Xenopus tropicalis: one gene and its partner. The protein of the gene in region 1 purifies or fractionates together with the protein of each later gene. This does not show direct contact. Links are inferred from orthologs where the notes say so. Each region holds a gene or a part of one and is shown in the gene's direction. Other genes may lie near its edges. The genes, in order: adrb2 and usp33.

Region 1 (4,378 bases):
TGATCTAAGTAGCCCCTTGCCCCCCTGGTACCACTAATATGTGCCAAAAGCAAAACTCTCACTTAATAATTACCTAGGTGGCAAGTTATTTCAGTACACTCACATACAATATAGCAGCTCTATTTTCTCTGTACTTTTTGCAAGTTTACTCTGCACTGAAGAAGAATTTGAACATATCTTTTATGACAGCTGTAGATACAATTACTATACATAGTCCGAAGGTTTATTGCCGACTTCTTTTCTTCCCATACATACAGTATATGCCCATGGGCTCTGCTCTTGGCTGCAGTGCAACAATTAGAAGAAAGCAGAGGTGCAACAATTAGCAGTATGGGGCCACCATAGTCTTCACCCTCCCTGCTCTGATTATTGCTTTGCCCTTGGGAATGGGTTAGCTGGTTGCAGCATGCCTTCATAGCTGCAACTCTGTACATAAATTACAGTTCTGACTGTTTTTAGTGTTTAAATGATTGACGTTGTTTCCTATTCTGTTCACTGCCCTTACCCATTAGCGCATAGTGCCACAATAGCCTCTGCAATGCAGAATAGGTGTTGCACAGATATCAGATACACTGGGCAAAAGAATGACAAGAAATAAATCATAAATAAAATACAAGTAGTAGCTGGTTATGTGACGCTTAAGGGTGAAGACACACAGAGCTACTAGTATATATACTAAAGTAGACAATGCTGATCATTTACTGATAATTGGCTGTACCTGTGTTTTAGCAGAGGCAATTCTCAGTATTGTCCATGGGAGGGTATTTTCTGGCGTTTAGTAGCTGTGAAAAAGAAGCTGCGACTAGTAGCTCTGTGTGTCTTCACCCTAAAGCAGGGGGATATGTAACACAAGCTATCCAACTAATCAATGGTGGGAATTGTACCTAAACATCAAACTTTGGACATAGCTAAACATCTGCCAATCGCAGAAAGAGTCCAGTAATGTCCAGTCAGCCCCAGTAGCTGTAGAATTCGAACTCTCGGGGGATACCAGGGGCTGTACTTGTACATCAGCAACTGATTAGATGCACTGCCGTGCAACTTCGAGCCCACCCTGCTTAAAGCCTGTAAGTGGCACCGTTTGATCCGCCGTGCAGTATAGCGCAGTATAGCGCAGCTAACTATTAGCGCAGGCAACTTCCGAAAGGAAAAGAGAAAGGCAGCGACCAGCCGGTGTTACGCGGTATCCCGCTCTTGCTCTCCGGGGATTGGCTGGAGCCCGTTGTGACGTAAGGGCGGGTGTTAATAAAAGAAAGCAGGCGAGCCCACAGCCCAGAATCAGAAGAGACTCTCAGGAGAGAGAGGTAGTTCCATGTCTAACGCCCCACAAACAGGACGGGCACAAATGAACGACACCGGGCAACTCCGCCTCCCCCATGGCTAAATGCGCTGGATATACGCGGGGCAGGAGTACTTTCAGCGCTGCGTGTCACACCCAACCGACTCCTAACAAGTGGAAGTAAAGTCAAAGGGACTGCAAAGCTATGGAACAGCGGGTCACCGCCAGCCCCTACCCTAACAGCACCCTCGAACAGCTGGTCTCCAACGTCTCCAACACTAGCAACGCCAGCGATAAGCCCGGGGATGCGTGGATGGTGGGCATGGGCATAATCATGTCTTGCATCGTGTTGGTGATTGTGCTCGGCAACGTGTTGGTGATCACTGCCATAGCCAAGTTCCAGAGGCTGCAGACGGTCACCAACTACTTCATCACGTCTTTAGCCTGTGCGGACCTGCTGATGGGGCTGATAGTGGTGCCCTTCGGAGCGAGTTCCATCATCCTGGACACTTGGGTTTTCAATAACTTCTGGTGCGAGTTCTGGACATCAGTGGATATCCTTTGCGTCACTGCCAGCATAGAGACCCTTTGCGTCATTGCAGTGGATAGGTACTTCGCCATTACCTCTCCATTCAGGTATCAGAGCCTCCTGACCAAGTGCAAAGCCAGGATTGTCATCCTGCTGGTGTGGGTGGTGTCCACACTTACCTCTTTCCTCCCCATCTACATGCACTGGTATAGGATAGAGGAGGAGAGTGCCTTGCATTGCTATGATGACCCCTCCTGTTGTTTTTTCTTCACCAACCCTGCTTATGCCATCTCCTCTTCCATCATCTCCTTCTACTTACCTCTGGTGGTCATGATTTTTGTCTACGCAAGGGTCTTCCAGGAGGCCAAAAAACAACTAAAGAAAATAGACAAAAGCGAGGGAAGGTTCCACAACCAGAATAACCAACAGGACACCAATGGTAAGCAAGGAAATAAAAGGACCTCAAAGTTTTGGTTGAAGGAGCACAAGGCACTGAAGACTTTGGGGATAATAATGGGCACTTTTACTTTGTGTTGGCTCCCCTTTTTTATAGTCAACATTGTCCAGGTGATGCACAAAGACTTTATCCCTGTCAAAGTTTACAACTTCTTGAACTGGGTGGGATATGTCAACTCTGCCTTTAACCCGTTAATCTACTGCAGGAGCCCAGATTTCAGATACACTTTTCAGGAGCTGCTGTGCTTAAGGAAACCGGGCTCCAAAGCCTATGCCAATGGGTACCCCCAGAGCAATGGGAACAGTGCATACAACGAAGACACAGAACCTTGTCAGTATTCTAAAGACAGGACTTGTGAAGTTTTATTTAAAGAGGAGAAAACTCCCAATCCCTCCCTTTTGAACTGTGAAGGTACTCTTCTAGATTTTAGCTTGGAACCACTGGGCAAGAATCATAACACGCATGATTGCTTATTATAGGATTGTCGATTTTTTTTTAATATTTGAACTATTACAACAAACTGGATTATTGCAATACAAGGGTCAACCAGATATCCGAATGTATAATACAAAGGAAAATGTTTTTATATGTATATTATATATGTATATTTTGCAGAAGGGCAGTGCCCATGTCTTGCAGAATGTATAAATTTATTATGAGAAAATGTACATTTCTGTCTATTTTCAGTTCCTCTTAAATTAAGGTAAGAGATCTTTTGTTATAATGTAATGGCTTTTATATTTTTATGTTGCTGCCCTGTGTACTTTACTGAAGAAAAATCTACCTCAAACCCTTAAAAAAAAATTGAATTCTAAGTTCAAGAATTCTGAAACTTAAAAAAAAAAAATCTTGCTTTTTCCCCCCTTTTCTACCCCTTAATAATACAAAAAACAGCTGCTGTTGGCGGAAGGGACAGGGTTAATTCTACTTTCCTTGAGATAGCTCTCCTGAGTAATGATGGGGTTAATGTGCTGAGCTTAATATTTTGAACTTTTGAAATTGCAAAAGTTGGGTTGTGAGAGATAGGAAAACGTATATTCTGTATAAGACTGATGAAAACTGTGTGTTGCAACCAGGAGAGACCCTTGGGGGTCATTCAGCATAGGTGCAAAAAGGCACAATTGCAGTAACCTATAGCAACCAGCTTTGGTTGGTCGTGTTTTGCAAGCTGCTGTGAAACCATGTAAAATAATATCAGAATAGTTGCTATAGTTACCACCATTGTGTACTTTTGCACCTGTAAATAAATTCTTTTTTTTCATGGTTTCTCAGGGAGGAAATGCAGTAAAAAAAAAAAAAAAAGTCGCAGAGCTAACTCAATACATTTCCAGCCACCCTTTTAGGTTTGTGCCAATCTTTGCATTCCCCTTTAACCCCTCTGTTGCAGGTTGGAAAGTGGCACTTTTTATAAGCAATTTGACATTTGCAGTGACTGTCACGTATACTGGAGCCTCTAACCAAAAGTGTATTTTAAGGATAGAAGGGTTAAAGGTCTAACTTAGTTCATCTAATTTTAGCAGTGAAGTCCAAAGTTGAGTGGAGGACCCATCCCCTTCTTGATGGCAAACTAATCTGTTTTTTCGGTGAGCCCAGCCTCCTAGATCCCTATTTGCGAGATAAATGAGTCCTTGTCTCCTAGATGGGGCAGAACAGATGTTCCTACTGCTGTTCTGTAGTGTCTGATCTCTGGCTGAAACCAAGTCCTGTCAGGGTAATTAATCAGTTATCTCTGGGTTATGAGCAAAATATGGGGCTTTCCAGATGTGACTGCACTACAGTGCTCAGCAGTTGCCCATGACAGTGGTAGGATTCTGAGAGTTGTAGTTCAGCAGCACTTAAAGACAAGCTTGCGGGTTGTTTCCTCTTGTCTCTTCAATGATTCTACTCAGTATAGATTTAATGGGGTATGTTTAGGCATAAACTAGGAAACCACAGACGAAGGAAGTAAAGCAGAGGCTCATTCATAAATAAGAATATAAAAACAAAATAGTTGATAGGCTACAGACACAGGACATTACAAATTATTATGGTCTATCACTTTAATACGCCCTGCTGGACAGGCTGAGTTCTCCCTATCGCACAAGGCATGTCTGTTCCATACATTTCCTCTGCG
Region 2 (3,821 bases), on another chromosome or scaffold:
TAGTTGATTGGCCAAACTGAGAACAACCAGTGTACAGCTTTATTGTCATTTCACCAAGTTGTATGTAAAAACCTGTTTGTGCATGGTCAGGTGTAAGTGCCACTCTAATTATCCACAACAGGCTTAAAGTAATAAACTTTGGAATGTAGGCTTGTGGATTAATTCTACTGTTGGTTAAAGATTTTTTTTTTTTTTACAATTACACTGTTCTGATGTGACTTTAAAAGTGCCAGACAACTGAAAATGATTTTATTTTTATGGTGATCACACTATTACTGAACAAGTGTTTACTTCTTTTCAGTGCAAATATAACTGTAAACTGCTTCACAGATGAACTAAACAAATAAATACAGTCTAAGAAAAGGAAACTGTAAACAAGGGTTTTATTGTGACGGATAGCTCTTTAAATAACTTCATTAATGGGTGCTAATGGTTATCAAACCTCCAAAGATACCAATAAAAGTATGGATTCAGCTGAACCCTTAATTTAGGGTTTGGATTCTTTTCTATACGGTTTGTGAAAAACAAATGTGTGTCTTGCAGAGAGAAGCTGCTGTTTCTTTAGATTGCAGATTTAATAATTTGCTAACAGTAGATATTTTTTGTAACTCTAGGTGTACCTCCACGTAAGGCAAGCTTTATTGAAGATCTTGTTGTCATGCTTCCTCAGAACATATGGGATTATTTATATAGCAGGTATGGCCTTTGTCCATAGTAAATTCTGTTTATATTATTGTATTTGACATGTAACGATGGTGCAATCTGCCATTTTGTTTTTATTTTGCACACTATTCCTGCATTGTGTTCCTTGCAACTTCCTTTTTGGGCTCAGGCACCTGAATTGAAGGCTGCCTGCATTAGGCAGCCCTTGATCCAACAGAGGGAAACCCATACGTAGGCCTCCCTTAAAGCAGGTGGTAAGGACAGGGCTGCTTCACCTCCACCGAGCTCCAGATTTCTGATCTGGCATTCAGTGCAGAGACCAGCAATCTACATGTATAGCTGTATTGCAAAAAAAAAAAAAAAAAAAAGTTAAGTTAAAAATCATTTTTTTCAAACAGGGTGATTAGATGTGTGGGTTAATAACGTGGTACCTTATGTTCACATCCTCAGATTATGCATATGGAAGCTGCAGTGACAAATTTAGGAAAAAAGCAATATGATTTTTATGCTTGAAGTAAATGCTTGAAAAGAGATTGCTCATATATACATTTTTTTGTTAGGCTAAATGTTTGTAACTGCTTTAAAAATAGGTTCTGATCTTCTAGATCAGTGCTGTCCAACTGGCGGCCCGCGGGCCGCCCTCTGTGTGGCCCCCCACCTGTCTGGCTGCTTTGATGGTTTACCCATGGGGCAGGGAGGGTATGGCACAAACAGGCAGCATAGGGCAGGGAGGGTATGGCACAAACAGGCAGCATAGGACAGGGAAGGTATTGAACACACAGGCAGGGTAGGGCAGAGTATGGCACACACAGGGAGGGTAGGGCAGAGTATGGCACACACAGGGAGGGTAGGGCAGAGTATGGCACACACAGGCAGCATATGGCAGGCCAAGTATGGCACACACAGGCAGGGTAGGGCAGAGTATGGCACACACAGGCAGCATATGGCACACACAGGCATCATAGGGCAGGCAGAGTATGGCACACACAGGTAGCGTAGGGCAGGCAGAGTGCTACCCTATGCTGCCTGTGGGAGGTGAACCTGGCAGGGGTTTGTTCTGGGAGTTTGTTAGAAGTTGGAAATAGCCAGTAAATGGTCCCTAAGGTGTGTAATTATGTACTGGGGGTTGCTGTGCTATCCACAGGGGAGGAGAAGTCATATGGATTTTAGGGTGTGTCTTAATATGACATATATGACAATATAATTCTTTCACATATGAATGATGGTTGATATCCCTGCAGTGAGGACCAAGCATTTGGGTTTTTGCTGCACTACCACCATTGTGATAAAATGGGTGTGGTTTCAAGTGGGTGTGGTTTAAAAGGGGGGAGTGGCTTCCATTAGCGGCCCTCCACCATGTATGCGCGAGAAATTCCGGCCCTCTGCACAGCAGAAGTTGGACAGCACTGTTCTAGATGCAAGGTTTGGTCACATAAAGAAATATATGCATACAGATACCATGTTTTGGTTTAATTTCAGAAGACTATTGCATGCATTTGCAAGTGTAGATGTCGAATTCCAGCCGCCAAGTGAATGTTTTGTCTTAAAGGGGATCTAAACCCAAAAAATGAATTGATGTAAACTTACATCTCTGAGTACTATTGCATTTTACACTTTTATTATAGTCAGCAACCCTAGGAAGTGCTAAATTCAAGAAGTGCATAGAGTTTTCTATCACTGACTCTTAAAATGTTTAAAATGTTGAATGTCTCAGAAACTACTTAAAACAGAAACAAAATGCAATTTGTAAAAGTGCTCAGAGGTCCTTTCTAATTAATTCTGCACAGAATAATATTTAGGGGTTTAAAGTTTTGTTTTTTCTTTCTTGGTGGACTTTTTTCACTTACTCAAGGGAAAATGCATTTGCAGTCACACACCATAGACATTTGGTATCATACTTGCTACCTTGGCTCTGCTAATTTCTACCATCTGACACAACAGGAGCCTTAAGAGACCATCTGAGAAGTAGTTAGTTGCTGTCCATCTTAGTGCATTTTCTCTTTTATACAATGGTGAATAATATAGAAAACATTCTTTAGTACATTGGATGCAAGGATTCAGGACTAGGCTATGAGTAATTTGTTACAGTGTTCACACAATGCTGAAACATTTTGTACATAGACTCAGTTGTCCCCTGAAATGGTACATATGAGAACTGGACTCATTTACAGTGGACATATCTTCACAAATGTTGTAACTCATAAAAAGCACAATATACTTTAAACAATGGAGCATATAGAGAAGATTTGCCTATTCTTTACTTAGCGTGTCTTCTAAAAAAAACTTTTTTTGTGATGTAGATATGGTGGTGGTCCAGCTGTAAATCATCTCTATGTTTGCTACACCTGCCAAACAGAAATGGAGAAAATAGAAAAGAGACGTAAAATGGAGCTTGAGACATTCATTCGGGTATTTGCTTTCTCTTATTTTTTTTCATATAATCTCAATAATCTCCTAACCCCATCCCTATCTCTAGTTTTGGAAGGTTGAGTGAAGCATAACCTTAAACCAGGAAACATGTGCTACATTATATGATACCTTATATCAGTGATCCCCAACCAGTAGCTTGTGAGCAACATGTTGCTCACCAACCCCTTGGATGTTGCTCCCAGTGGCCTCAAAGCAGGTGCTAATTTTTTGAATACTTGGCTTGGAGGCAAGTTTTGGTTGCATAAAACCCAGTGTAAAGTCAAAGAGAGCCTTTTATAGGCTGCCAGTCCACATAGGGGCTACCAAATAGCCAATCATAGCCCTTATTTGGCACCTCCAGGTACCGTTTTCATGCTTGTGTGTTATGCTACACACTGTATATAAAATTAAGCTCCCCTGGCTGTTAAGGGCAGAAGGCTAGGCAGAATGGCAAAATCTTATTTTACTGAAGTAGGAAGTGTCTCTTGTCATTACCCTGTTCCATTCTGTTGTTCATTTTGACAGCTTGAGGTGCATTCTGAGTAGGGTATGAAGCTTCTGTTGTTGTTGATCCATGTAATTACTAATGTATCAAACTGTCTTACTGATGTTCTACTATTAACTATGGATTAAAAAATTGTAAAAACTGTAGAGCTGCATAATATAGTTAAATATATTAGAATATTAACTATTAGAAGAATAACTAGATTAATAAGAATAACTAGATTAGAAGAATAACTAGATAGATT

Evidence for each region.
Region 2: the proteins of adrb2 (region 1) and usp33 purify together in Homo sapiens (affinity purification with western blotting; 3 studies listed by BioGRID and IntAct, with this or other methods). This does not show direct contact. The link is inferred for Xenopus tropicalis from reciprocal best matches to the Homo sapiens genes ADRB2 and USP33.

What each region holds. Positions count from the first base shown.
Region 1 is NC_030679.2:41,027,202-41,031,579, reverse strand, and holds the start of adrb2 (beta-2 adrenergic receptor), read left to right. Parts: upstream 1-1,274; 5' UTR 1,275-1,484; coding exon 1,485-2,744; 3' UTR 2,745-4,378. UniProt on the Homo sapiens protein: Beta-adrenergic receptors mediate the catecholamine-induced activation of adenylate cyclase through the action of G proteins. The beta-2-adrenergic receptor binds epinephrine with an approximately 30-fold greater affinity than it does norepinephrine.
Region 2 is NC_030680.2:80,353,679-80,357,499, forward strand, and holds part of usp33 (ubiquitin carboxyl-terminal hydrolase 33), read left to right. Parts: intron 1-614; coding exon 615-696; intron 697-2,963; coding exon 2,964-3,072; intron 3,073-3,821. UniProt on the Homo sapiens protein: Deubiquitinating enzyme involved in various processes such as centrosome duplication, cellular migration and beta-2 adrenergic receptor/ADRB2 recycling.